Sus scrofa: one gene and its partner. The protein of the gene in region 1 interacts with the protein of each later gene in a pairwise test. Links are inferred from orthologs where the notes say so. Each region holds a gene or a part of one and is shown in the gene's direction. Other genes may lie near its edges.

Region 1 (15,340 bases):
AGGAATTAATTTAAAAAGCTTATACTGTAGATAAAACAAATCAAATTTTTGTGGATATTTACATAAAGATGCGAACAATATTTATCCAAAGGTGAAGCGGCATAAATGATTATCTGGAAGGTATTGGTTGCCTTGTCCATCTATATGTATATATCTATATCTCTATACATCTCTAACTCTATATATATGTATTTTGTTTCTCAGGGCTGCACCTGCAGCATATGGAAGTTCCAGTCTAGGAGTCAAATCAGAGCTGCAGCTGCCGGCCTATAACACGGCCACAGCAGCTCCAGATCTGAGCTAAGTCTGCAACCTACACCACAGCTCTCAGCAATGGCAGATCCCCAACCCACTGAGCAAACCCTCATGCTTATGGATACACGTCATGTTTGTTACCCCTGAGCCATGATGGGAGTTCCGCTTTGTCCATATTCTGCGTAATGCTGCCCAAACAGCATCTATGTCTTTCTATTGACATTAAAGCAATTGTCATCAAATCTCTTTCTTACATCAACATTTATGCTGTTTGAACTGAGTGATTAAAAGATTTTTTGATTTTTTTGACATTCAGTATTATTCAGTTCTCTTGAATTCAAAATTCATTGGCTCTCTCTAACAAAATGCAGTTGGGAGAATCCTAAGTTTGTTTGAAGCACTGAAATCATTACTTAATTCTGAAGAAAAAGTCTCAGAATGTTTGTTGAATTTTTAAACAATCCATTGAGTAAAGCTTACTTATTTAGTTTTTAATATCTGTTTTTCACTAGGATTATGCAAATTGAAGGAAGAGCAAACAATGTTACTACTCTGTTTTGTAAAGAAATTCAAATGTGTTAAGAATTGACAAAAAGTTTATCCCTTTAAGCGTCATGGCAATTTTTAAAAGAGACTTATGAGAAAGCGGAGTTCCTGCCATGGCGCAGTGGGTTAAAGACCCAGTGTAGGGAGTTCCCATCGTGGCGCAGTGGTTAGCGAATCCGACTAGGAACCATGAGGTTGTGGGTTCGGTCCCTGCCCTTGTTCAATGGGTTAACGATCCGGCGTTGCCGTGAGCTGTGGTGTAGGTTGCAGACGCGGCTCGGATCCCGCGTTGCTGTGGCTCTGGCGTAGGCCGGCGGCTACAGTTCCGATTAGACCCCTAGCCTGGGAACCTCCATATGCCGTGGGAGCGGCCCAAAGAAATAGCAAAAAAAGACAAAAAAAAAAAAAAAAGACCCAGTGTTGTCTCTGCAGTGGCTTGGGTCACTGCTGAGGCACCAGTTCGATCCCTGGCCCAGCACAGTGGTTTACCCAGCATTGCCATAGCTGTGGTGTAGCTCGAAGCTGTGGTGTAGCTTGCAGCTGTGGCTTAAATTAGATCCCTGGCCCAGGAATTTCCATATGCCACAGGTGTGGCCATTTAAAAAAAATCTGCCTAAATGATACTGTGTTATAAAGCACTTTTCTTCACTCAACAGTAAGTTTTGGGGTTCTTGGTTTGGTTTTTTTTTTTTTTATTTTTTTTTTGCCACAGTGTGCTGAGGCTTGATGTGTTGATGTGGGCTCTCAGCTCTAAGGGAACTCCCAATATTAAGTTTTTAGATCTATTTATATTGCTGTATGTACATTCAGTTCATTGCTTTTAATGTGCAGTATATTTCCATTTTACTTATCCATTCCCCTAGTGATGGACATCTATATTGTTTCCATTTTTTCCCTTCCTATCAGAAAATGTCAAAGAATATCTCCACACATAGTTCCATATGGGGTTAAATGAGACTTCCAGTGGGGTTTTGTCTCATCCTCACATGGCCAGCTTCTCCTCTTCCTTTAACCCTCAACTAAAATGTCACATCTCTTACCATCCTATCTAAAGCAGGTTATTCTTTCTCAGTTATTCTTTCAGTCCCTAGTTTGTTTCTTTCAAAGGATTTACAAAACATTGAAATATTGTATTTATTTCCTTTTTTTTCTCTCTCCCCCACTGGAACATAAGCTCTATGAAGGCAGGTACTTTGTCTCATGTACTTTTGTATCCTCAGCATCTAAGACAGTGTTTGGCATAAGTAGGTGCCCAATAAATATTTTATGAGTGAATGAAGGAAGAAAGAAGGATTAGAAAAAGGGATAAAGCTCTGGAGAGAAAATATGAGGATGATCCCAGGGAACTTGGCCAGTTGAGTCCTAAGGTGAGAAAAGCCGGTAAAAAATGATCTATGATGAGAAATGATTGGGACCCTAGGAATTGTGAAATCTGATACTAAAATTTAAGTTCTTTTTGTTTCTGTGCTGTACCCCCCTTTCAGTATCCTCAAATTTTTAAGCCTATTTCTCATAAAAGCTAGTTAGGCTTTGGAGAATCAAAAAGAAGAGGTCTGTGTCAATACTTGGTACAAAATATTATGAAGTACTGACAGTAACTGCAGATGAGGTAGTATAAGAGAATGAGGGAAAGAGGCAGCAATAGGTATTTAGAGTGTGGGGTGATAAGAAGCCACCAGAGAAGTTGACCTCTCCAGAATCATCAGAGTACTCCGAAGGATACTGTACTTTCACCAATTACATGAAATAGGAACTTTATATTTATACATTAAAATAAAAGGTAACCCCAGAAGATTTGGAGACATATATTACACATTTTCATGAGCTTATGCAGCGTTCTACAGAATTCATAAGACATTTAGAACTTAGGCAAATATATTTTTCCATCAGTGGTGTCATTGGCTGGTTGACAGTTGAGACTATTGGTAGCAGATGTAGAGAAACTAACTTACTAACCTGACTCTGAAGCTCTATCATTAGAGGTAATGGAAACTTACAAGGAGATTGGAAAGATCAGCCTATCCTATTCCCTGTGGAACATTTGAATTAAATCACCCCTGGTACCCCTCCATACTCCTTCCTCATATACACATGGCAAGGCACATTGGATATCAGGGAATGCTCCTGGCACTGTTTGATGGAAATAAATCCTGCTTAATAGTGTGTTGTGTGAATCTCCTCACAATCAGTCTCAGGAAGTACCGGAGAAAACTAGTATCCACCTTAGGCAGCATGGGATGCATGGGAGATGCTTTCTGACTTGCTGTTGAACAGTGACTAAGGCACCCTGGGACCTTTGATGATCTTGATGTGATAGAGATAAACTGACTCATTGTTTCATCATGAGGCACCTTCAATGATATATAACCTTGAAAAGTGGGGTTTTTTTTAAGATGAACACTTTGGTCTTGCTGAAAGATGGACTCAGCCTGTTTTTCCTAATGATTAAGTAAAGTAAGTTTCTATGTATTTTGCTGAATGGGTGGAAATCATAGAATGGGTTAAACACAAGAGCTTTGAAGCAAGTAAGGCTTGAGGTTGAATTTTGGTTCTGGTACTTGATCACTGTGACCTCAAGCAAGAAACCAATGATCATCACTTTACAGGGTTGTTTAGACTATTAAATGAGATCATGTATACACAGCAGTTAGCACATAATGAGTATTTAATTATTTAATTAATACCTAAAAACACACCAAAAAATCTAATTAAATACCAAATCTAATTGGTAATTATCAGTAATAGCAACTTAAAACAGAAGTTATAACCTTTGTAAAGGTTTATATCTTTGTTACCTTTGTCAGAGTTTCTCCATACAGATGATAAAACTTTTGTTCAACTTAATTTACACAATATAAACTTTTACTCTTGAACTGTGCTTTCAGAGATGATTGTCTGAAGTTAAACCTGTAGAATCTCTGATCTAGAATATATGATAATAATATTCCTCTGGTTGCTCTTCAAAGCTAAGGCTTTTTTATACCTGGTTTAACTTAAAGTTTTCTTAGACATGCTTGTTCTTGTGTTGAGATGAAGCTACTGTATTAGGTAGTCATTCTGGTGTTGGTAGTAGATTCTTAGAAACTTTGATTTTTTTTTTAAGTCCTCCAACCCAAGGTGTTCATTTTCCAGGTAACTGATTTAATAGAACGGGTTGAGGTGCCATGGAAGATTATTAAGCCAACTAGCACAGGGATTCTGGGTGTAAATTTCTACCTTTGATTTAATCCAACTTGAACCAACTGAGCAGCTTATGTAAACAACCTACAAATATGTACTGAGTTGTAGGTGGAGAGATACCAATGATAATACAAACCAAGTCCTTGTCTCCAAAGCACACAAGCCACAAGAGTACCTGGGAACACCATATGTATAACAGAGAAATGCTAGTCATAGGACATTCTCAATCTCCTTCTGATCACCAGTTAAATATTAGACCTTTGGTGGCACACTTTAATTAAAATACTCAAAATGACACTAAAACAAGACAGCAGTAACTATGAAGCAGACTCCCCTACTGGGTGATATTGTTTTGCAATGTCTGTAAATCCCTCTGTAGGTGGCCTTTCCACTTGGCTGTCTTTTAACTTTTATATTGCTGTTTGAGCAAAACTGTGCTGTCCTGACCACAATATCATATCCTCAAAAGACAAAGATCTTTCATGCTCCAGCAAAAAAGGGGTGATTTTCTCTGGTGCCAGTTTAATTTTGGCCTCTGTATGCCTCAAGTGGAGCCCCACTTTACCTTGCAAGATGGTTCAGTCCACTCAGCTCAACATTCTAACTGTTAGATGTCCCTGAAATAGTATGTGTTAGTTGTAGAACCAATACATTTCACTCTATGGGCAGAATTGGTCACCATATTTTGGAAGCTCCAGGTACACCTGTGTGCCTTGGCCAACTGTTTGAGGACTTCATCTCTAACCCATGTAGTCAAGAGTAGGGAGAAGGATGGGAACTGATGTAGGCAGGAACGGATGGACCTCGAAGGATGGGCAAGATTTAAAATTGTAGATGCAGAAATGGTGACTGTTCCAGCTGAGGAGAATGACATTGCCTGTTTCATTCTACAGCATAAAGAATTTTCACTTCCAAGTAATCTTTTCAACTTCACTTCTTGAAGTGCGGGGACAATCTCCATAACAATTCAATTTATCCAAAGGAGGTTGTACAAGTTTCTGTGATGTCATATCACGAAATAACAGTGCCCTTCTTTCACTTAACAAGGTTAAAAAGTACAAGGTACAGACCCATATAATTGGGAGGTTCAACTCTGCCCTCCTATATTTGATTTCTGATTTTTTTTATTGACTGTTTTTCAGAACGTGAAATCCCCTTGACACTTTTCAGTACTAGCAGAAAAGTTCCTGACTCCTTCCTAGCATTTGGCACTGTAAGCTTTCCCTCCTTTAGGCTTGCTCTGACACCATACTCTTGGCTCTCCTCTCCTTCTGGTCATTCCTGCTCAGGCTCTCTGTCCCTTGAAATGATTTTGGCTTTCTCTCTTCTCTCTCTACAGGCTCACAACGGCAAACTAGGGATTCTTAGAAACTGCAAAACACCTTGAGGTAAGCAAGCTCCTTAATGGGGCTTACTAGCTCTCAGACATTATTCTGCCTTGGTTAAATAAAACTGACCCATAGGGACAAATAATGTGGTAACCTTTGTTAGGGAAACTTCCAGCTACCAAATCCTGCCCAGGCACAACAGGAAAAACCTTGAAAGGAGTCCCAGTTTAAATTTCTTTTGATATTGTTGTGCACAGGCCTTAAAAAGATAAGCACCCCTGAGCTTATTTCCCGAGACATTCTCTTCGAGCCCATTTTTAGACAGAAGTTCCAAGCGACTGAATTACACAATCTCGTTCACTGAACTGCCCCCAGCGCCAACCTGGGCCTGGCACAGAGCGGGTCTGGGGGCTTATCTCTCTTGTGGTGACTGTGTCTAGAGTTCAGGTCCTTGGGTAGGCGGAGGGCAGGCAGCCAAAGTGCCAAAGGCTGAAGAGCAGAAAAAGGAGCCATTGTTGGCTTTGCCTAGAGGTGCTGCCTTCAAAATAACTCGTCCTGGAGTTCCCCTCGTGGCTCAGTCGTTAACGAATCCAACTAGGAACCATGAGGTTGCGGGTTCGGTCCCTGCCCTTGCTCAATGGGTTAACGATCCGGCGTTGCCCTGAGATGTGGTGTAGGTTGCAGACGCGGCTTGGATCCTGCGTGGCTGTGGCTCTGGCGTAGGCTGGTGACCACAGCTCCGATTAGATCCCTAGCCTGGGAACCTCCACATGCCGCGGGAACGGCCCAAGAAAATGGCAAAAAGACAAAAAAAAAACCCCAAAAACTTCTCCTGAAGGAACAGACACGCCACAGCTGAGGCCAGTGCGCCGGCACTCGCTCCAATTTTCACCTAGACTCCAAAAACGAAAACAACCTAGGGCGTCGCCTGAGCTCCGGCGGGTTTCGGGGCGGGGACCTCCTGCCCCGCGCAGACGCGTTGCGGCGGACCGGGCCCGCCACTGACGTCACAGGAGCCCCGCCCTTTAGGGGGAGCGGCGGGAGCGCGCGAGCTCTGTCACGCAGGCGCGTTCGCGGGTTGTAGGTGGTGCTAGAGGCTGCCGGGGGGTTGTAGGGAGACGGCGCTGCCGCCATTTTGTGGGGTGTTTGTCGCAGCGCCTGTAGAGAGAAGACGGCGGTTTGGCGGCCTTTCGCGGCCAAAAGGCCTTTTGCTTTTGCGGAGGTAACGTTTCAGGTGGGGTGTACTGGGATGGGCGGCCTCCCAGTCTTATAGGAGTCAAAGCCAGGTGTCGGAAAAACGACCGGGTTCAAGGCCTCGGCGACCGGAGTTCTTTCGCGGCACAACTCTGCTCGTGGCTTTTAAAACCTGAAGTTGCCCAGATGTCATGGTAAATTTAAAGTCCTAGGGCGGAAAGACCTCGGCTCTGCTGCTTATTCTTCACTGGGAGCTCAGGCTGCTCGCATCAAGGCTGCGGAGGCCTTTGCTCCTCCCGTCGGCCACAGCGAGGACCTGTCGGGAGGCCCTTCGAGAGCCGCGGGGGGTTGTGTTGTGGTAGACCCAGCGCTCCCCTCTGTGCCTGGTCTCGGTCGCCGGTAGCATTTGGGTGTTTTCCGGAGTCGCATATCTGTCCCTGTCTGTGAGTGAGCCAAAGGCCCTGGGCGGGTAGGCGGGGGTCGGCGACCGGGCGTCCGAGGAACTGCAAGTCTGCAAGTCCAGGATGGTGGAAATGAGCACGGGAGAGGCAGAAATACTGAGAGGCTCATCCTTTGTGCGGAACTGTATTTTTCCTAAGGTGGAGCTTACCCTTGTGCGGCAGATCTGTATTTCTGATACTTGTATAGCTTGCTGTCCTTGATCCTTAAGCAACCGCTATATGCTTGTCTGAGCCTTAAGAAACAGCATTCAAAACTGCCTGGGTCAACCACCTGGTCCTATTTTATAGCTATGTTTGTGTGATTGTGTTCCATACATACAGCCACAGGCTTCGGCTTCTTGTTATTTATTAAATGCAGTCCTCTTGGATCCATCTAATTGTGATATTTCTAGCCACATTAAATATAGAGAGAGTGCATAAAATTGTCCGCATAAGATATGTCAATCAGAATGCTCACTTAAATCAATAATATAGAGTGTTAAAGGGCAGTAGAGAATCAGATTCCTAAGATGGATATAAACCCGTAGATTTATTCTATCTGCTGTTTTTATTGAAGTATGTCTGGTGATTATAACATGTAGGATTCTTTATTAATTAGAGATGGTGTAACAATTCTAGATTTTCTTTTTTGTGTATGCGAAAGAACCTTGTCTGTGTAACCAGGGTTTGGGATTTTTCTCTTGGTCTCCTGAGGTAATATTTCTGAGCATTATTAGTTGGGGGAGGGGGGCAGAGGACGCACAGGGGACTTCCTAACAGTTGAATTAAAAGTAGTGAACTTAGCTAGAGAAATAAAAACCTTTGGCTCTCCCAAGATGCTTATTCTTAGTTTATTATTTGCATATTGATAATTCTAGTTAAGAATTCTGCCTTGTTACAGATGAGCCAGTTATGGCTGACAGTAGAAGGAAAAAGCAAAACCGAAGTAGGCACATATATTTTGCAAAAACTGCATTGTAGTAGTCATAATAATACCTTTAGTCATCAGATGTTGTAATTTTGCTTACTATAATTTAAGAATGCTTAACTAAGCAATTTTAAAGAGTTCTATGTGGTTAAAATACAGTTTGGGTAATTGAAGTGTCAGGAGAATTCCTCTAGAAAGAAGAATTTTTTTTGATGGCATTTCTGATGACCTTTTGACTCAAGTTAATTTGTGTGTCATTTATTTCAGTTTCCCATATTCAGGTAACTCTGTGTCAAATCAGAATGCTCACTTAAATCAATTTCCAGTAAAAACCCTGAGTAGAGTTTTAAGAATTTTGTTTTACCTAACCAGTGCCTTCTCTTCCTTTTTAAAAGCAAGCTGAAAGAGAAGCTACATTATTAGAAGTATACTTGATGGGCATAGAAATAGCATTAGCGAGAGAAGTCACTGAAAAAAATCTGCATATTTGGTGGCTAGATTTTCTTAGGGAATACCTCACAGGAGATTTCTTATTTCAAAGTCTTTTTTAATCCGTTTGAAATCATTTAAATGTTTACCTGGATTTGTTTGCTTGTTACTGAGTCATTTGGGCAAACTAAAGGAGGTAAATGAACTAAGCTGGTTTGCTCTTATTTACCTTTTTTCAGCTCCTTGCTGAATTGTGAAACTCCCCCTGTTCAGCAGTTTGGGTATCATTGTTTCAAACTTAACTGTTTTGTGAAAGAATTAAGTAGGGAAGAGGGAGATCCTGATCCTGAAAGAACCTATAAGGTTGTAGATGGAGTCAGGAAATTTTTGCAGTTACCATCTGATTTTAGTGTGAACATGTTCATCCTTATAAGTTCATTCCCAGATCTACAACAAATATGTTTAATTTTAAGAATGGCTGCAGGATGATCTGAAAATAAATATGTTGGATAGAGAAAATGAGTTCAGAAAATACTCTTTTATTGCTCTTTCTGTGGAATATTGTGTTGCATTTATGCCCTGTTTATTTTTGTTTTCAAAGTTTGGAGTCATTCTGAGATTAAGAAAAAGGACCTTTTTTTGAGTGAGAAAAATAAGCTTTATTAATGGCTTTTTACCTTTAAAACTAAGTTGTCTCCTATATTTAGTATCCCCAAGTGCTTCTCTGACTCCAGTTATTTGTAATACAGTATTTTGCCAAAGATGCATGACACTTGTGATGTTCGTTTTAAATTAGCTCAGATTTAAAGTTAACGTCAGTAACTTAATAATTTGATAACATCAACAACTTAATTGGCAGATCAGTAATAATTTAACATAGAACAACGATGGTAGAAAGAAAGGTAATGATAAAAATAAAACCAAAAAAGTTATTATTTCTAGCAAGGTATTGTTGTTTACTGAACGATGGCAGTTAGCAAATGTTAGTTGAACACAAGCATCAAGCTGAGAATTTATGCAGAAGAATTGGAAGAAAATATATTAAGGTCTCACAGTGTTACCAATCATTTAGTACTAGATCTGCATGCCACTTAGAATCATCTGACATACCGTGGAATAGTGCCCCCATGTCTTGGAAATGCTACCTGCAAATATTTTAGAACCTCTGTGACCCCCCCATATGCTGAGTGTTTTTATATTAATATAAAATATTTTACTGACTAAACATAACCGTCTGTAACTTCCACAACTCACTTTTCATTTCCATTCATAGATGCGGCATTCCAAAAGAACTCACTGCCCTGATTGGGATAGCAGAGAAAGCTGGGGACATGAAAGCTACAGTGGAAGTCACAAACGGAAGAGGAGATCCCACAGTAGTACACAAGAGAACAGACATTGTAAACCACATCACCAGTTTAAAGAATCTGATTGGTAAATTGCTTTTTAACTAGTAGCATTTTAACACTAATAGTTTTAATGCTTTGTCATTAGCTTATGTAGCTTTCATCTGTCAAATTGTTTTCTAAATTAGTTTAAAAAATTCAGAAAATATTTACTGAGTGCCTATTAGTTACATGCTAGACACTGTAGATGCTGAGTTGTGAGTAAAACAAGAGTTCTTATCCTCATATCTTTGTCAGGGAGCTGTAGGAGACAGCTAATTGAGTCCCAGCTGCCAGAAATGTAGTTGGGGGCATTGAGACTTGAAAGTAAGTTATGATTGCTCACACAAAAGTAAATGATTAAAGGACTGGTTAGCGCCTTTATCTTGTTTGTAGGAGAGCACTTGTTTAGGGTTCCACGAATGAGAGTTCAGGGGCAAGGAAGAGTTATCCAGGTGAGAAAAATATCTTGTGCCATTTGAGTGCCTTGGGGATTAGTCACTTAGACTGTATCCTGCAGGTTTTATTTGTAGATAAGACCAGTGGATGGTTGGATTTTTTAGAAGCTTGACTATTTTAAGAACCATTCTTTTGCTTAGGCAGTAGCCAGTAATTTTTAGGGAAAGGCCTCAATAAAAATTTCTGATAGCATGTGTCCTGTTTTACTGTATTCTAACCAGTGTAAAATTTGGAGGTAGTACATTTATATAGAATTGAAGGAGTTTTAAAGTTCCTAAATAATTAAACAAAGGTTAGGTGAGTAGAGTGTCTTTCATTCTGTCCTCCATTAATATCCCTTTCTCATTTGTTTTTGTTGGTTCTATGTTTTCTCCTTGTTTTGTGCAGATGTTCCATTGGGACTGTTTGCCAGATTGCTTTCTAAATTAGCCAGCTGGGGTTACTTTAAAAAACAGTATGTAATTTTTTTCCTTCTCCATGCTAAAACAGATTTGTTCTGCAGAACAGTGAGCTTGTTCATTGTCAGTGCAGACTAGTCATTCTTCATCACACGTTATCATTTGGAAGAAAGAGGGAGAATCTATGCCAGGATTTCGATGAGCTAATTAATTTCTACAGAAAAATATCTGTACCCTATATTAAAATAAATATAAAATAGTCTATAAGGCTTATTAACATCATAGTATAATCATTCGTTTACTGTGCATTATATGTGTAGAAAGGAAGTGATGTAATATACATTTCATTCATGTTTGTTATTAACTACATAAACATGATACTGATCTAGTAACCACTGGGCCAATAGTTTCTTCTTTGACATTGGCACCAGAGATGTCTGGTAGCAATTGCTCTCCATAATCTGGAGTAGTCTAATAGTCTTCTTCAAGATTCAAAACTAAATAAGCGTGTTTTATGAAATTATTGAAAAAAGAGAAAAATGTAGAAATACATAAAGGTAATCTTGATAAGATGATAGTCCCCTATTACTTGGATGTAAAATTACTTTTAACTATTTCTTTTGAAAAATATCTTTGTATACAAATCTTTGCCTCTGATTATTTCCTGAAAATAATTCTAAGAATGATTCTTAAGAAGGGACAGTTTCAGGTTAAAGGATGTGAATTCTCATAAGGCTCTTGTTGCATATTCAACATATTTTTCTAGAAAGTTTGTACCAAGTTATACTCCTACAACTTGTTCCTTCATACTTTCACCATTCTTAGCTATTCTGAAATGCTATTTGAGTTTTGAAATTTCTCCTTAATTTATTGTCACGTTTATTGACCACTTGAATGTTATTTTTGTATTCTTAGCCTATTTTTCTCTATGAAAGTATTTTTCTTACTGATTTATAAGTACTTTTATTATTCTGCCAAATATCTTACCTTTTTCCAACGTATATTGCAGTATCTTTTCTTTCTGATTTGTTTTTTGGTAGTAAGTAGCCAGTGAATTACTCCCTTCCTACAGGGTTAATTAATTTTTAGGAAGACTGATGTGGCTGTGAATACTGTGAATAGCCTTAAAAATGTTTTCCTGTAACACAGAATATCAAGCCTTAAATCAGTGAGTCTCAAACTTCAGTGTGAATAGAATCACCTTAGAGCTTGTTTAAAATGCATATTACCAGGCTATTCAGTGAGCCTGACCTGGAGCCCGGCAATCTTCATTTTTAATAATTTAACATTTTGATATTGTTAAACTTACCACTCTTTGAGAAACACTGTTTTGAGCTCTTTAGCTTGACATTCAAGATTTTGGGTGACTGTTCCCAGCTTATTTTGCCTGTGTGAAAATTGCTTCTGCTAAAATTGTCTATTTACTGTTTTTTAAGTAACATGTAGACAAATTCATCTCTAAGTCATTGTGGCTAAAAGGATCTATAAATGTGAGATGGTAATAGGCCATTTTTCTCCCCTTGCATATCCACCTTGTCTAAATCCTAACTTCCCTCTAAGATGCAACTCTTTCCTTCTTTTTCATGAAATCTTCCCTGACCATTTTAAGCATTTTGAGTTTTTTCCCTTCTGTCCCTAAGCACTCATATACAGCCTTTTGGCATTTACTGCATTCTTGAGTTTTGGGGTTTTTTTGTGTGTGTTAGTAATCTCAAATCGTTCATTATTTGTTGGCAGGGCTTTTGCCATGTATATATATATGTATGTATATATATATTTTTTATCTTCCACCGGACCTGTGTGGAAATAAAATCAAATGCCCTCTAGCCTCATTTGTCCTGGCTATTTTGAAGAACTGCAGTGAAATATTCACTGGCCATTCAGTGAATATTTTTAGAAATATCCCAAGTGTTCATTCTGTTCATTCTGTCCATATAGCCTTTATAATTCTGTAGACTTTGTTTATGTAATCTCTAAGCCTTGGTTTTTGTAGATTGAGGAGGTCTTCATCTTTTTAGTTTATCCTTGTGATATTCACCCCATGTTTGTTATTCCGTAGATTGTTTATGGATCAGCAGCTCTAATTTCATGCACCATTCCAGCTAGAGATTATTAGTGTTTTTTTTCTGATAGATTTCGGGCTTTAATAGGGAGGATGCCTTACAGAATTAAACAGGATGTCCTTAAGAATATGGTAATTTCTAGCTTGATGTATTGCAGTTTTTTCCCTTATAGTTCCAAGCAGCTGATAGATCCTTGACCTAGACTCAAAAGTCTTACCCTAATATTGTAAGTTGTTTCTCCAATGACTAGAACTCAGGGCTGACACTGGAGAAAAGGAAAGAGGGTTTCTGCATCTCCCCAGCCTGGATTTGATGCCAACCCTGTTGAGTAGCAGTTTTACAGATGCTTCTCCTTTATTTCTGCCTAAACCAGCCCCCTGGGAAAAAGAATGACTGCGTATTCTGGGGAAAAAAATGAGGTTGGTGAGGGCAATCTAGTCAACATCTGTCACTCCATTGCTTGTCAGGATTATTTTAGCTGATGTGTCTGACTGGGCAGGTGTCCCCTCTCTCCCTCAGTGCTCCATGTGCATCCCTCTTGAAGCTTCGCACTCTGTTGAAGAGGACACTCATCCCAGGTAGAGAGGGGGATGGGAAACTGGGCCAATTGAATCTATGTTTTTTCTTTCCATCAGACCAAGGCTACTTAACTGGGATCCATTGACTTCCTGAGGTCCATGACCTCTGAAATTCCTTACTAAGTTTTGTTTATGCATTTTTGTGCTTCTTAGAGAAGAGGGTCCAAATCTTTCATCAGATTTTCAAAGGGATCTGTAGATTTAGAAGTTATGCACCATGGCACCAGATGATGCTGTTTTTCATTAATTCTTGTTTACTTTGCAAGCAGGAATGACAGAAAATTCCAAATGCAAAGGGAAGTAGGGAGTTGGGTAGCCCTAGGCAAGCAATTACAAGATTGTTTTCTCATTTGAGGGGAATATGTTTTAGATGTCTTTGGCACATGATACAACCTTCAAAAGCTGTGTTGTCTGTTTCTCAAAGATTAATACATGAAGCTAGAAATACAAAAAGGAGAGGAGATATGGGATAAGTGGTGTGTGTGATACGATTGGCACATATAATAGGACTTAGAACGTGATGTGCAACCATGGCCTATAATTTTCCTTCTAGGGAGCTCAATTTAGTCACCTTTAAAGCGAAAGTGCTGAAATAAAATATATTTAAGATTCCTTTTAGCTCTAATAAACCTTTCATGAGAGAATTCTCTGTGTGCCAGGGATATCTAAAATTCACTTATATTGAAAAAGAAATCTTTGTCTGCCTCATGTTGTATGTGGCTCTGGGAAAAGGAAAAAAGCTCAGTTACAGACACATATATCATGCATGAGACTGATGAATTTCAGAACAGCGGTTTTGTGAATTTTTGGTCTTAACTTTCTCCAGAAGGTAAAGGGACACTAAATCAAGCCAATACTGAATATAATTGAATGATTTGACTCAAGTATCGTTTCTTGATAGAGATGTATGACGAATTTGTTGGTTGGTTAAAGTAAAATTACTAACTTTTATGAGTTAAATATAAATTCTGATTCGTCAATTTGTATTTTTTTTTCTCTTATGAGTTAGCTGTTTATACCAGGAATTCTTGAGAGAATGTTTTGTTTTAACCACATTATTCTGGAATGAAGAGAGTAATTTTAAATCCTTTAATGTGTTTGCAGTCATTATTTAGAAGCAAGGTCCTTGAATGAGAGAGATTATCGGGACCGGAGATACATTGATGAATACAGAAATGACTACTGCGAAAGATATGTTCCTAGACATTATCACAGAGACATTGAAAGCAGTTATCGAATCCATTGCAGTAAATCTTCAGTCCGAAGCAGGAGAAGCAGTCTTAAAAGGAAACGTAATAGACACTGTTCAAGTCATCAGTCACGTTCGGTATGATTGATTTTGTTTTTATTTTGGGTGAATACTTATTTGTGTATAAAAGCTCTTATTAAGCCAATAAGTTTGGAAAAGTATATATATATCTATATATATTAAAAATACTGTGACTGTAATTGTGTTTATATTACTTGAATCCTTAAAGGAAACTTCCAAATTCTTAAAACTAATTTGTATTTATTAGCTAACCCTAATTTGCCCACATTACTCATTTTCTGTAGACCAGATCATGAGTTTCTTGATTTTAATATTAAAAATATTTTTGTGTTTTTTATAATACAATTTTATGAAAAGATGAAGCACCCATCTTTTCTTTCATCTGAAACTTTTTTAACCTTAAAAGAAACCCCTTTCCCAATACTTGTAAACAAATATGGAAAGTTGCACTGGTGGATATTTAATCCTGCATGTAGCACAGTCCCATAGCACAGTGCATCATTATCTACAACTAGTTGCATTGGAATTCTAAAAATGGGTGCTAAATGGGAAATGTATTGTCTAAAAAGCCTGCCCTTTTTTTTACATTCACGTATCTTCACCTGTTTGATCAGTAAACTATAAATTATTATTTTCCTCCCCAAGTTTTCATCAGTAGAACTAGCATTGATTAGATTGAACATTGAAGTTAACTAGCCTTTACTTTCCCCTTTTATTTTAATCACATGTGTTTTAAAATATTGCTAAATAAACAATTTAAACTAATCTTGACATTTTAAAACATTTTCCTGATGAACTAGACATCCCAACTCACAGCATATACTATGTTATGACAAGAGGTTAATAGATCATGACATTGCTTTCTTTAAATTTCAGACTTCAATTAA
Region 2 (14,627 bases), about 11 Mb from region 1:
TATATGTATACATAAACATTTATGTTTCTCAAGATCTGCAGCAAATAAAGCAAAGGTTAATAAAGGTTAAATCTAGATGGTGAGTACATGGTTTCAGATATTATCCCCTATGCATTTCCATTTGTATTTAAAATAGTTCATAATAAAAAGAAAAATAAAATGCAGGAGTTCCCGTCGTGGCTCAGTGGTTGACAATCCGACTAGGAACCATGAGGTTGCAGGTTCAATCCCTGGTCTTGCTCAGTGGGTTGGGGATCCAGCATTGCCCTGAGCCGTGGTGTAGGTCGCAGATGCGGCTCGGATCCGGCGTTGCTGTGGCTCTGGAGTGGGCGGGAGGCTACGGCTCCGGTTGGACCCCTAGCCTGAGAACCTCCATGTGCCGCAGGAGCGGCTCTAGAAAAGGCAAAACGACAAAAAGGCAAAAAAAAACAAACAAACAAACAAACAAAAAAAAACAACGGAAGAAAGTGGAAATGGTGTGATTGCACTCTTCAGGAGATTACTTCTGGAAATAAGTTGACTACAAAAAATTACTTTTCCGTGAAAACTCATCAATAAGCCCTTTCCCCAAACGATCTTGGTTATACCCATTATTTTGGAGATGGAGAAATTGAGGCCCAGAGGTCACAGCTGAGCAAGCAGGCGGCGCAGCCGGGAGCACCTGGGAGAGCCTCGCTCGAAACAAGGGTTGGAGGCGTGGTCCTTGAGGTCAGGCTAAACCTACCGAGGCCCAGGCCTTCCCGGCCAGCCCCGCATACCGTGTAGAGCGTCAGGTCGACATGTCGCCACAGCCACCGGTCGTCCACCAGCCTCTTCCAGCGGTGACAGACCCTGGGGGAGGGGACCCGCCGTTAGAACGACCACGGCCCCGCGGGGTCCAGGTCTGCACCTCCTAGCATGCCCCCCGCCCGGCCCCTCCCTCCCGCGGGGCGGGGCCGCACCTGGAGATGCGGATCCGGTCCCGGACCGGGAGGTAAGAGAAGATCTCCAACAGGACAGAGTCCGGCAAGTCGGCAAAAGTCGCCATCATCCCGCCGACACGCATTTCCGTTTCCGTCCAGAGGGACTCGGGGACTCGTTCTGAGGGCGACCAAGGAGGTGGGGGAAGTGAGGGTGCTGGCACGGAGGTGGTCGCGGCTTCAGGTAGCCAGCAGAGATTCAGCTTTCCTCTTGCGGGGACGTGGCTGGGCACTGGAGCCAGAGCAGCACAGGATCTGAACGCCGAACCAAAAATGCAGCTGAGAACTGGGACTAAGCCGGGAAGGCGGGGCTGAGGCGGTGACGCAAACCAAGGGCGGGGTTAAGGGGGGGGAAACCTTACTCTGGGGGCGAGGCCGGGACGAGGGCCGAACCCAGAAGGCGGGGCTGGGGCGGTGACAAGCCCTGAAGGCGGGATTGAGGGCAGAGCCGAGAGCAGAGGACTCCGCAGAGAGAGGTCTCAGCTTTAGAGCTTTGTGATGCATGTACATGAGGGTAAATTTGCAAGAGTGAAATAGCTTTTGTTTTGTTTATAAATAGCTTGTTAAAAGGAGTGTTGAATTTTTCGTTTTTATTGATGGTGTCAAATGATTCTCCTCAGAACCTGAACTGACTTCCTTCTCGTAAACAGCACTCATTTTTATAAGTTGCAATTCATAAAGGCAGTGAAATTTACTCAAGCATTCCCGTATTGATGAGTATTCCGGTTGCTTCCAGACCTATTACCATAAACAATATTGGAGCTAAGCATTCTGTTACATATGTATGTATGTATATACGTATGCAGGTTTATGTACACACATATATATAATATACTTCCTATGTTTTTATTTCTATAGGATAAATAAACAGGAGCTGTGCTTATGGGTCAAAGGACATGAGGAGTTTAATTCTGAGTAGCTTTTGCCAAATCACACTCAACAAATGGCAATAAATGTTTTTAATACACACAAGAAATTGGAGATGCTGAAAACTGTTTCAAAAAGAAATGCAAACTCATTAAGATGTACATGCTAAATGTGTGCAATTTGGTATACCAACTGTACCTGAATAAAACTTAAATAATCTGTATGCTTACACTTATCCATAAATAAATTCAAAGTAAAACACTATGGAATTCACTTATCAGATTAAGAAAGATGAGGAAGCCAAAAAATACCCACACTGGCTCTGATATGAGGAAACAGACTTTCTCAACCACAGCAGTTGGGGCAGAATTGATGCAAAATCTTTGAAGACAGTTTGGCAACATAAGATTGTAGCCCCTGTCAGACCAAGCATCCCACTTCTAGGATCTCAAATTGTCAGAAAGAACGAGGTAAAAAAAAAAAAAAAAAAAAAAAAAAAAAAAAAAAAAAACAAAGGAGTTCCCGTCGTGGCGCAGTGGTTAACAAATCCGACTAGGAACCATGAGGTTGCGGGTTCGGTCCCTGCCCTTGCTCATTGGTTTAAGGATCCGGCATTGCATGAGCTGTGGTGTAGGTTGCAGACGAGGCTTGGATCCCGCGTTGCTGTGGCTCTGGCGTAGGCCGGTGGCTACAGCTCCGATTCGACCCCTAGCCTGGGAAACTCCATATGCCTCGGGAGCAGCCCAAGAGATAGCTAAAAAGACACACACACACACACACACAAAAAAAAAACCAGAGGATAAAACTGCAGCCTACCAGATCCTCAGGGCAGAGCCCCCTTCCCTGCCTGCTTACATCTCTCACAAGCATCCTATCCTAATAAATCTATTACTTGCCTATCAAAAGAAAGAAAGAAAAAAAAAAAAGTCAGTGGAGGGAGTTCCCATCATGGCTCAGCAGTAACGAACCTGGCTAGTATCCACAAGGACTCAAGTTCAATCCCTGGCTTTGATCAGTGGGTTAAGGATCCAGTGTACGTGAGCTGTGGTTTAGGCCAGCAGCTGTAGCTCCAATTCAAGCCCTAGCCTGGGAACTTCCATATGCCTCAGGTGCAGCCCCAAAAAGCAAAAAAGAAAGAAAAGAAAAGAAGAATCATCTCCTGCCCCATCAAGCATACAGGAGTGGAGGGATAGGAACTGTCACATCTAAGCTCCTTCCTCTGGCTCAGAAATTTAGGCAACAAGAGACAGAGAGGCCCTGCCCAGTTTGCTCCCTGAGTCATGACCCAGAACTCTCCCTCCTGGGAAGCATTTATCTCCAGCCAGGAGCAGCTCTGTCAGCAGATCCTTCAGTTTCCCAGACAGGAGGATGGAGCTGACCTGGCCCCTCCGTGACCACTGAGTCCCCTCATGGGAAGTTCCAAATGATAATTACCAGGATGTGGAAAGAGGTCTCTTACATAAGGTGTCCTGTCTCCTGAGGCACCTCCCTCTCCCATCTGGCTCCCAGTGGCAGCCTAGTCCTGGGACTTCCCATTGTCCTCCCCCTCTACTTCCTCAGGATGCCTTAGTCCAGCTGGGGTTGGCAGCCCCCCAGTAGATCCCCATTCCTCCCTCCAGAGGGGCCCAAACCCCCAACAATCCCAGACTTTATTTTCCTCCCCTTTCAGCAGTGATCCTCACTACTTTTCAGCCTCCCCCAGCCCATAACTTAGTATCATGATCCTGTGCTTGAGCCAACTTTGAATCAAACACTGAGAAATCAGTGTTTGTTAAAAATGCATTTACTTTTTTCTCCTCATTACAAAGTAACATATGTTCATTGTAGATAATCTGGGAAAACACCAAAAGTGCCCAAAAGAGGAATATGAGACCCAGCAATTCCACCATCTAGCTGTAACCACCATCAACAGCTGGTGTGACCTAGTTTTTTTGTTTTGTTGGTTTTGTTTTTGTTTTCTCTTTTTTGGCTTCCCCTCAGAATATGCAGTTCCTGCGCCAGGGATCAGATCCCAGCTACAGTTGCGACCTACAGCCACACCTGCCAAAATGCCAGATCCTTTAACCCACTGTGCCAGGCCCGGGATCAAACCTGAGTCCTGGCGTGGCAGAGACACCGTGGATCCCGTTGCACCAGAGTGGGAACTCCGTGACCTAGTATTCCTATGTGAATCCAAAGATGTGCTCCTTCCAAATTTCCCTCAGGCTCATCCTTGACCTTCCCATCTCTCCTCTTGTTCCATCTGTTCTTCTGCAAGAGGACGTCAGGGGCTGGGCCAAGACCAATCCTTCCTGCAATCCTAGGGTGGGAATTGCTATCCCCTTTCATAGATGAGGAAAATGAGAATCAGAGAAGGAAAGTGCTGAGATGACACAGCTTAATAATAACGCGTAAGTTGGGGTTTTCAGAGGGATTCTGCAGGGAGTAGAGGAATAACACGTCAAAGTTCTGAGGCAGGAAGGGCCTGGGACTCTAGCGTTTGAGGTGCGACTTATGGAAGTTCCTAAGCTAAGGGTCAAATTGGAGCTACAGCGCCGGCCACAGTCTCAACAACACCATTCCCTAGCCATGCCTGAGACCTACACTACCGTTCATGGCAACACCTGTATCTTTAACCCACTGATCAGGGCCAGGGATCAAACCCGCGTCCGCATGGATACTAACTAGTCGGTTAATATCGTTACCGCTGAACCACAACGGGAACACCAAGGTGGAATTTCTTAGACTTATTCTTTAAGGCAGCGCAGCACAGACAAGGTTACCAAGCATCTGCCCTTTCCCCAGGATGGAATCTCATGTCTTTCACCTAAACTCATCCCAATTTGAGAAAGTGTACCGGTTGAATCAGAAGTGGAGGCCCCTTTTCAGAGTGAATCCTTTTATGCTTTCCAAACTAGGAGAATACTGTCAGCTGAGAAAGTACAGTTCAACGGTTAGGTCTGTCTACTGGCAGGCTGGATCTAGGGAGGGGTGTTCCGTGTCACACCAGCCCTGGATCCGAAAGGCAAGGTTAGGATCTGGTACAAGGTGCCCCCTGCAGGGCGTGAGAAACAGCCCTGGGAGATTTTGCGCTTGTGCAGCTTCCAGCTTCCTTGTCAGTGTTGCAGGTTGGCGTGCAATGGGAACTTCATTCTGGTAAATACTAGTATTCAGGCCAGGATCAGGAGGCTCCTTCGCTTGCTGGCTTTAGTTTGCACCCCAGATGTCCCTGGCGAGATAGCCAGAGGGGAGGGCTGAGCAAAACGTTTCCAAACCCTGAATGAAGGCAGGAGGGCGGACCGGATGCCTCAGAACTCGACCTAAGCTCCCCGTAGCCCTGAAGCTGCAGTTAGAGGCTTCATCGGGTTCAAGAACAGGAGGTCATCCCCCCTTCCCAGGACGTCCCTCAGGAGCCCCTGGCCTCCCCAGCAGATGCCACACCTGACGGCGTTTCGGCACAGTGAAGGGCTTTCAACCAACGGCATCCAATCGGCTGGGCGCCAGTCCATGACCTCTGACTCTCCATGTTCCTTCTCCGCACGGGCTGCGACCTTCACTTGGCCCCGTGCACCGTCTGCAGGTGTCCTCCTGCCCAGGCTTGGGACCACAAATCCGCTCCTGGGAACCGACTTCCCGCCCAGGAGGCGGCGAACTCTGCGGAGTGTTGACAGGCACTGGGAGGAGCCAGGGCCAGGGCTTCCGGCCGAGCACTTCCGCTTCCGGTTCTTAGCGTCGACTCTGTCCCAGGCTCTACCTTCCAGCGAAGAGGTTGTGGCGTCTGCTGGTTCCAGGCGTTTCTTGGTGAGAGGGCCGGGTGGAGAGGGCTGGAGTCGGGGAAAGCTGATGGAACTTGACCATAGTGGATCAGCGGGACTGCGAGAGGCAAGGCGGGGCCTTCAGGCTACCTGAAGCGGGAAGGGGCCAGGGCGGGGGGGCAAGTGGGGGGTGGAGGTTTGGCTGCCTGGGTTCCACGGTCGCCTGGAGTCTGAAGTCCTTGGACACAGGATTCGGGGCCCAGGAGGACCTCAGTGTCGGGGATTGCGCGGGGCGTGAATGTAAGACTCAACAATTGGGGGTCTTGGGACCCTGGAAGACCCCTGAAGTCCAAATTCTCTTGCCTCCTCATCCCCACCCTGTGTAGCTCCAGACAGGATGATCGAGGTTGTTTGCAACGACCGTCTGGGGAAGAAGGTCCGCGTTAAATGCAAGTATCCTTTGGCGGCCAAGAGACAGTGGTTTCCTGGGGGTGCTTGGCTTGAGGCGGGCTGCTCAGTCTGTGCCGTAGGGTGATTCTAGTTAAACCTGGGAGGCGGGGACGGGAGTGGGATCCTGGCAGAGTGCATTCGGTCCTGGAATGCCCTCTTCCTCGTTCTATCTCCCCCTTCCATTTTCCTTAACTCCTTCGTGCCCAGTACGGATGACACCATCGGGGACCTTAAGAAGCTGATCGCAGCCCAAACTGGCACCCGTTGGAACAAGATCGTATTGAAGAAGTGGTGAGTACAGTGGTGGAGATGGGAGCTGGAAAGGAGCTGGCCAGAGACTTTGGGTGGGTGAGTGCTGCAGCCAGCCCTTTGCTCAGGCAGAACTCCTCAGCATGCCTCCAGAATGAAGAGCCTTTTTAAAGTTTTTTTCTGAAAACTTTTTATCCCTTAGGTACACGATTTTTAAGGACCACGTGTCTCTGGGGGACTGTATCCTTTGTGATTTCTTGAGGAAGGGTTTTCATACCCAGACTTGGTTCTCCTTGTTCTATATATAGACTGGAGTCTATATGAGATTATGCACATAATGTATTTAACTTAGTATGTGGTACATGGTGTTTAGAAAATGGGAGCCATGTGATTATTTTGTTGGGGCAGGAGGGTGGTTGGTGAAGTATTTTGACATGGCTTCTAAGACTTTGACACTTTGGAGTTCCCATCATGGCTCAGCAGTAACGAACCTGACTGGTATCCATGAAGACACGGGTTTGATCCCTGGCCTCGCTGAGTGGGTTAAGGATCCAGTATTTTGCCCTGAGTTGTGGTGTAGGTCACAGACGAGGTCAGATTCTGAGTTGCTATTGCTGTGGCTATGGCATAAGCCAGCAGTTGCAGCTCTGATTCGACCCCTAGCCTGGGAACTTCCATATGCTGCAAGTATGGCCCTAAAAGGCAAAAAAAAAAAAAAAAAAAAAAAGAGGGTTTGCAGTCAAAATATTTATTACTGAGTTCCACCTTAGTTGGGCAGGAAGTCACGGTGGAGTAAGACTCAGGCTTATGTGTTGTACAAGAGGATCATGTACTTTTTATTTAAAAGTTTGGATTCTTTTCAAATCAAAATGACCTAGTCCAAAAATGTGGCTACCAGCTGTGAGAGATGGGAGGGGTGGGGGGGGTTCAACCCCACCCTGATGATTCCTTGACTCATTTACTTCAGATGAAATCCATGATGGGATGAACCTGGAGCTTTATTACCAATAAAGCAGAATTCCTTCCCCCCCTACCTTGCCCTTCTCTCTTCTCCTACCCTCACCCCCCACAATAGTGTGGCTGCTTGTTTTTGAAAACTCATGTTAATAAAAACTTAGAGGCTACTTCATTGTTGTCATCTTTGAGTGAGGGCTGTCTCTTGAGGGGAGGGTTGGTATGTGGTTGTCACTATCTTCACAGTAACTAGCTGCTCAGTAAGAGTTCAGGATTGACTGGATCAGTGAAGAGTCAGCCAGTGGGCTGGGAGCCTGAGTTGGAAAACCAGAGCTTTGGGGCTTGCCGTATGTTTCTGAAGGTCAAGAAATCCTGGGATCACTGGCATCCTAATAGATAGAGGAACCTCTGAGTAAGAACAGTAGGTGCAGTAGTTAGGAATACTGGTTTGAATTCAGACAGACTATAGGTGGAATCCCACCTCTGCCACCAGCTGTGACTCTGCACCATGTTACTTAATCTCCCTTAAACTTCATTGCCTTATCCAAATTGGAAATGATGGTATTTACTTCTTTGGTGTGTTATGGAGATGAGATAAAGCATAGTTAAGCAGCCACATCTCCTGGTACTTATGAAATCCTAGTGGACAGAGTGAAACAGCGTGGCATATATTCTAAGAACCTAGCCTCAAGAGTCAGACCAACTGAGTCTGAATTTTCATCATTAGTAGTGGGATTTGGGGAATCAGCCTCTCTGGTGGTCGGTTTCTTACTCTAAAACCAGGCATCCCATCTCGAGATAATGAGGTAATGCAGTTAAAACAGCAGGATTCCTGGTGGTATTAGCCATCTCCATCCTTCTTCCTCTGGAGCGAGTAGGCAGGACATCTAACACTCCATTTCTATTACCCTGGCCACAGATCCTGGGGTCAAGCTTGGCCCTGTCTTTTCCCAAAGCCATATTCTGGAGCTCCCTTGAAAATTTCACCTAGGGAGTTCCTATTGCGGCTCAGTGGTTTTTTTGCCTCTTTTTTTTTTTTTAAGGGCCGCTCCCGTGGCATACCGAAGTTCCCAGGCTAGGGGTCTAATCCGAGCTGTTGCTGCCGCCAGCCTACGCCAGAGCCACAGCAACGCGGGATCAGAGCCGTGTCTGCGACCTACACCAAGCAGAAAGCAGGGATTGTACCTGCAACCTCATGGTTCCTAGTCAGATTCATTAACCACTGAGCCACTCCGACTAGGAACCATGAGGTTGTGGGTTCGATCCCTGGCCTTGCTCAGTGGGTTAACGATCCAGCGTTGCTGTGAGCTGTGGTATAGATCACAGACGCGGCTCGGATTTCGTGTTGTTGTGGCTCCGGCGTAGGCCGGCGGCAGCAACAGCTCTGATTAGACCCCCTAGCCTGGGAACCTCCATATGCCATGGGAGCGGCCCTAGAAAACACAGAAAGACCACACACAAAAAAAGAAAGAAAGAAAAAATTTCACCCAGAACTTTGCTCCATCCTTTTTCCCCTCTCTTCTGTTGATGTGGCTGATCAGTTCATAACCATAATAAGTCTGGCCCACTGCTCCTCCCTTCTCCAGGCTCCACCCAGCCTTCTGCCTGCCTTTCACCACCAATCTTCTTGGGACGCAGACCTGCCGGCTACCTGGGGTGCTGGCCACTGGTTATGGTCTCTCCTTGGTCTCCTTCAGCCACCTCCCTACCTTTGCCCTTGGCTTACCCCCCTGTCCCCAGGACTCTGCTTTCTCCTGACATGTCACAGATGTCTGTTTCCTGGTATCCCTGCTCTTCTTGCTCTTATATCTCAGTCTCCTCACCTGTCTTCCTAAAAAACAAACCCAACACATTTTTTTTAAAGTACACAGCAACTTTGACAAGGTGAGTCTTTGTGTTCAAATCAGCATAAAAAAGTACTGGTTAACAAGTAAAACCCACTCCTGACCTTGTTCCCTCTCCTGAGGTCAGGCCTTTTTCAATGCATTTAAATAAACACTATTTTTTTTTATTTTAAAGTTTTATTGATGAATAGGTAATTTATAACTTATTTATTTATTTTGCCATCTTAGGACCGCACTCAGACATATGGAAGTTCCCAGGCTAGGGGTCAAATTGTGGAGTTGCAGCTGCTGGCTTACACCACAGGCACAGCAATGCCAGATCCAAGCCACATCTTCGACCTATGCCGCAGCTCACAGCAGTGCTGGATCCTCAACCCACAGAATGAGGCCAGGGATTGAACTGGCATCCCCGTGGATACTAGTTGGGTTCGTTTCCACTAGGCCACAATGGGAACTCCTAAAACTTATTTTTAAAAGTTGACTATGCTAATACCTCTTATAAGGAAATCCAAGTGTGTTAAAAAAAATTAAGTTTCGTATTTATACACCATTCTGTCTAACAATGGCAGTCATTAACATAGCTGAGTGAGGAGTTTCCATCGTGGCTCAGTGGTTAATGAATCCAACTCAGAACCATGAGGTTGCGGGTTTGATCCCTGGCCTTGCTAAGTGGGTTAAGGATCCGGCGTTGCCCTGAGCTGTGGTGTAGGTTGCAGACGCGGCTCGGATCCGGCGTTGCTATGGCTCTGGCATAGGCTAGCGGCTACAGCTCTGATTAGACCCCTAGCCTGGGAACCTCCATATGCCGCAGGAGCAGCCCAAGAAAAGGCAAAAAGAAAAAAAAAAAAAAAATAGCTGAGTGAATCCAGAAATTTTCTGAAATACAACCTATAGCTTTTATACAAATGGAGTAATTTATACATTCGCTAATATTCATATACCATTCAGCAGTTTGCTTTTTTATGCTTTACCTTTGATTTTTCTATATAAATTACCTGTCTCGTTCTTTTTAATTAGTGTTTTTGTTGATTTTTGTTTTGCTTTTTTATTTATTTATTTTTTATTTTTTTAGGGCTGTATGTGTAGCATATAGAAGTTCCCAGGCTAGGGGTCGAATCAGAGCTGCAGTTGCTGGCCTACGCCACAGGCACAGCAACACCATATCCAAGCCGCGTCTGCACCCTATGCCCTAGCTAACCTATGCCCTAACACCAGATCTTCAAGCCACAGAGTGAGGCCAGGGCTTGAACTGGCATCCTCATGGATACTAGTTGGGTTCTTAACTGGCTAAGCTGCAACGGGAATTCCTTGCTCTTTTGTATCAAAAGGCAGTATGGAAGGATTTTTCTGATGATGGGACTGTTGGGTCTGGAACTATGGAGGTGGATGCAGGACTCAGCATTTGTCGATTGGGATATAGGCAGATAGATGGAATGCAGGCTGTCAGGTGAATCTGCCTGTATTACAAGTGAATCACATGACCCCACTGAATCCAGTGTGGAAGAAAGGAGCTGACCTAAATAACTGGAAAAGTATTTTACCTTGATACTATAAGGCTAGAGACAAAGAGAATTACAATCAAACACTGTACTGTAGTTGGTAAATGTATTCCTCAGAGCAGTATGATTTAGCCATCCTAAAACTAGTTTTATACATATATACACACACAGGGTTGGATAAATACATTGTACATAATTGGAGCCAACTGTCTTGCTGCTGGAGAAAGAAGTTACAAATAAAACTAGGAGGAGGTGCAGTGGAAGGGGCTGGGTAGAATGAATCCTGTGGGGCTGGAGGCATCAGGAATTCCCATGTGGCTCAGCCGGCTAAGGATCTGGGATTGTCACTGCAGTGGTGAGGGTCACTGCTATGGTAGGGCTCAGTTCATGGCCCTGGAACTTTGCATGCTGGGGGTGTGGCCAAAAACAACAACAAAAAACAGAGTTGGGAGGGATCAGTATGGGTTTTTTGTTGTTTAATATGTTTACTGTCACATGTAGAAATATAGGTGTGTGCGTATATGTATATATATATACATCTATGTCCTTGTTTTATCCACTTGGACCAGAAGTAGTGACACCCTAGTATCAATGAGCACACCTAGCACCCAGATCTTGGTTTCTTTTTGTTTTGTTTTGTTTTTGTTTTTGTCTTTTTAGGGCCGCACTCAAGGCATATGGAGTTTTCCCAGGCTAGGGGTTGAACTGGAGCTACACCTGCTGGCCTATGTCACAGCCACAGCCACACAGGATCCGAGCCCCCTCTGCAACTTACACCACAGATCACAGCAACATCAGATCCTTAATCTACTGATCAGGGCCAGGGCTCAAACCTGCATCCTCATGGATGCCAGTCAGATTGGTTTCCCCTGAGCCACGATGGGAACTCCCAGATCTTGGTTTCTAAATAATATTCTCCAATAAAAGGAACCAGGGCTCCTGGGAGAAGTAATTGGTTCCAGAGCTAGGGTAGGGAAAATACAAGCTGAGTGGAGCATCTTGTGTACCAGGAAGTAGTGCTCAGATAAAAAGAACAACTCGAACAACAAAATAATAATAATTTGGACTACAATCCAAAGAATAAAATAAATAGCCTCGAGCCTGTGCTTATATAAATAAATAACCATATGTACATGAATAGGAGAGAAGGGACACCTCATTATAAAAGGATTTCAGTTAATTGTAGAAGGAAAGAGGGAAATAGGAAATTACCCACCCTTGAGTCACCATAGTAATAATTGCTGTAGGCAAGATGCACTAATAGATGCTAAAATTAGTTTGCAAAAGTTAAGCAGAAATAGGATATTTGCCAGGTTACTGCTGTGGCACAGTGAATTAAAGGATCTGGCATTGCTGCAACTACAGCATAGGTTGCAGCTGTGGTTGGTATTCATCCCCTGGCCCAGGAATTTCCACATGCCAAAAATAAAAATAAAAAGTTTATTAGTAGGGAGTTCCTGCTGTGGTACAACAGGATCAGTAGTGTCTTGGGAGCCCTAGGATTCAGGTTCAATCCCTGCCCTGGTACAGTGAGTTAAGGATCAGGTGATGTAGTTGCAACTACAGCTCAGGTCAGTTCCCTGGCCCAGGAACTCCATATGCTGTGAGGCAGCCAAAAAAGAAAAAAAGGGGAAAAAGGTATTAATGGGGAAATTCTTTTATTTTTATTTTTATTTTTTTGTCTTTTCTAGGGTCGCACCCACGGCATAAGGAGATTCCCAGGCTAGGGGTCCAATAGCCATAGCCGCCGGCCTACACCAGAGCCACAGCAACTCAGGATCCAAGCCACGTCTGCAACCTACACCACAGCTCACAGCAACTCCAGATCCTTAACCCAGTGAGCAAGGCCAAGGATTGAACCCCAAACCTCATGGTTCCTAGTCAGATTCATTAACCACTGAGCCACAACGGGAACGCTGGGAAATTTTTTTTTTTTTTTTTTTTGTCTTTTTGCCATTTCTTGGGCCGCTCCTGCGGCATGTGGAGGTTCCCAGGCTAGGGGTCAAATCGGAGCTGTAGCCACCGGCCTACGCCAGAGCCACAGCAACGCGGGATCCAAGCTGTGTCTGCAATCTTCACCACAGCTCACAGCAATGCCAGATCCTTAACCCACTAAGCAAGGGCAGGGACCAAACCCACAACCTCATGGTTCCTAGTCGGATTCGTTAACCACTGCGCCATGACGGGAACTCCTGGGAAATTTTTAAAGTCTAGTTAATAGTGTTGTACCAATGTTGATGTCTTAGGTGAGTTTTTTTGTTTGTGTTTTTTTTTTTTGTTTTTTGTTTTTTTTTGCTTTTTAGGGCGACACCTGAGGCATACAGAAGTTCCCAGGCTAGGGGTCAAATTGGAGCTACAGCTGCTGGCCTATACCAGAGCCACAGCACCGTAGGATCTGAGCCATGTTTGCAACCTACACCACAGCTCACAGCAACACCAGATCCTTAACCCACTGAGTGAGGCCAGGGATCAAACCTGCATCCTCATGGATCCTAGTCAGGTTTGTGAACTGCTGAGCCATGAAGGGAACTCCTGATTTCCTAGTTTTGATCATTATTCTGTGACAGAATTTCTCAGTTTTGCTGCTCTTGATGTTTAGTGTGGATAATTCTTTTTTCTTTTTTCTTTTTTCTTTTTTTTTTTGCCTTTTTAGGGCTGCACCCATGATGCATGGAAGTTCCCAGGCTAGGGGTCAAGCTGGAGCTATAGCTGCCGGCCTATGCCACAGACACAGCAACATGGGATCCGAGCTGCATCTGGAAACTACACCATAGCTCACAGCAATACCAGATCCTTAACCCAGAGAGTAAGGCCAGGGATGGAACCCACATCCTCATGGATACTAGTCAGGTTCATTACCGCTGAGCCAGGATCGGAACTCGCAGGGTGGATGATTCTTTATTGTGGAGGTTGTGCATTGTAGGATGTTCAGCAACATCCTCTGCCTGTATCCACTAGATGCAAGTAGCATCTCTCTTCTTTCATTTGTGACAACCAAAAAGATCTTAAGACATTTTCAAATGTCCTCTAGAGAACAAAATCACCCCTGGTGGAGAACCTCTGTTCTATTATGTAAGAAGCTAATATAAGGGAAGGCTGGGTGAAGGGCATTGAACAGTTTTTTACAGTTCTGCCCTAAGTCTAAAATTATCTGTAAAAAAAGGAATATTATTATTATGCTAATATGTGCTTGTAAAAAAGAATCAAAATGTTACATTAGAGCTTAAGTTAGTCATTAATATATTTGAATGAATCCAGAAATTTTCTGTGATATAAAACTGCAGTTTTTACACAACTAAGTATGCATACTCTAATAACATTCATACCGTTCAGCAGCTTGCTTTTTAAGGCCTTTTTAAAGCTTTGATATCTTTCTGTAAGTGATGTCATTCTTTCAAATTAACCTTTATTTGCTGAATTTTTTTTTTTTTGGTTTTGTTATGCTTTCATACATTCTATAATTGCTACACTGTACAATGACTTTTTTTTCCACTGAGCAGCATATATCCTTGCTAAGACCAGATACTGCTTTTGAGTGCTTTATATAGATTATTAACTCATTTAATCTTTATATCAAAGGTATTTACGATATGTATTATCTCTTAAACTCATTTCACAGATGGAGAAGCTGAAGTGCAGAGGTTAAGTAATTTGTTCAAGGTAATAGCAAATGGTAGAGCTAGGCTTTGAACCCAAAGCAATCTGACTCCTGAATGCTCTTAACCTACAGCATCCTACCTCTGTAATTTGTCATAGACGTGTTCCTCTGCGTTTCATGTCACTGAGCCTCATTCTTTTCAGCGGTTACGTAAGTGCCTGTGCTATAGATGAACTGTAAGTGAACTCTTCCCTGTTGGTGTTTTGACTCCCATGTTTGTCTCCAGCCCTAGGTCTCCAACCACCTCCTTGGTGTGTCCCACATGTGCCAGACTTAAGTTTAAACTGACTCAAAACTGAGTTCCTCATCTTCCCACCTGCACCTTCCCCCTTGTCCCCATCTGAATGGCAATGCCAACACCTACCAGTCACCCAGGATGGAGACAGGAGCCAGACTGTGAGGGAATAAGTGAA

What was found.
Region 2: the proteins of CLK4 (region 1) and UBL5 interact in a two-hybrid assay, tested with the Homo sapiens proteins (2 studies listed by BioGRID and IntAct). The link is inferred for Sus scrofa from reciprocal best matches to the Homo sapiens genes CLK4 and UBL5.

Annotation. Positions count from the first base shown.
Region 1 is NC_010444.4:79,723,087-79,738,426, forward strand, and holds the start of CLK4 (dual specificity protein kinase CLK4), read left to right. Parts: upstream 1-6,373; 5' UTR 6,374-6,531; exon of another isoform or gene 6,532-6,694; coding exon of another isoform or gene 6,695-6,697; intron 6,698-9,573; coding exon of another isoform or gene 9,574-9,631; coding exon 9,632-9,734; intron 9,735-10,531; coding exon 10,532-10,598; intron 10,599-13,124; exon of another isoform or gene 13,125-13,130; coding exon of another isoform or gene 13,131-13,183; intron 13,184-14,287; coding exon 14,288-14,510; exon of another isoform or gene 14,511-15,340. UniProt on the Homo sapiens protein: Dual specificity kinase acting on both serine/threonine and tyrosine-containing substrates.
Region 2 is NC_010444.4:68,700,630-68,715,256, forward strand, and holds UBL5 (ubiquitin-like protein 5), read left to right. Parts: upstream 1-5,953; 5' UTR 5,954-5,957; coding exon 5,958-6,013; intron 6,014-6,217; coding exon 6,218-6,301; intron 6,302-6,461; coding exon 6,462-6,499; intron 6,500-7,226; coding exon 7,227-7,270; 3' UTR 7,271-7,320; downstream 7,321-14,627. Other genes in the region: FBXL12 (F-box/LRR-repeat protein 12), read right to left, coding at 759-831, 942-1,045. UniProt on the Homo sapiens protein: Ubiquitin-like protein that plays a role in cell proliferation and sister chromatid cohesion by associating with spliceosomal proteins. Participates thereby in pre-mRNA splicing by maintaining spliceosome integrity.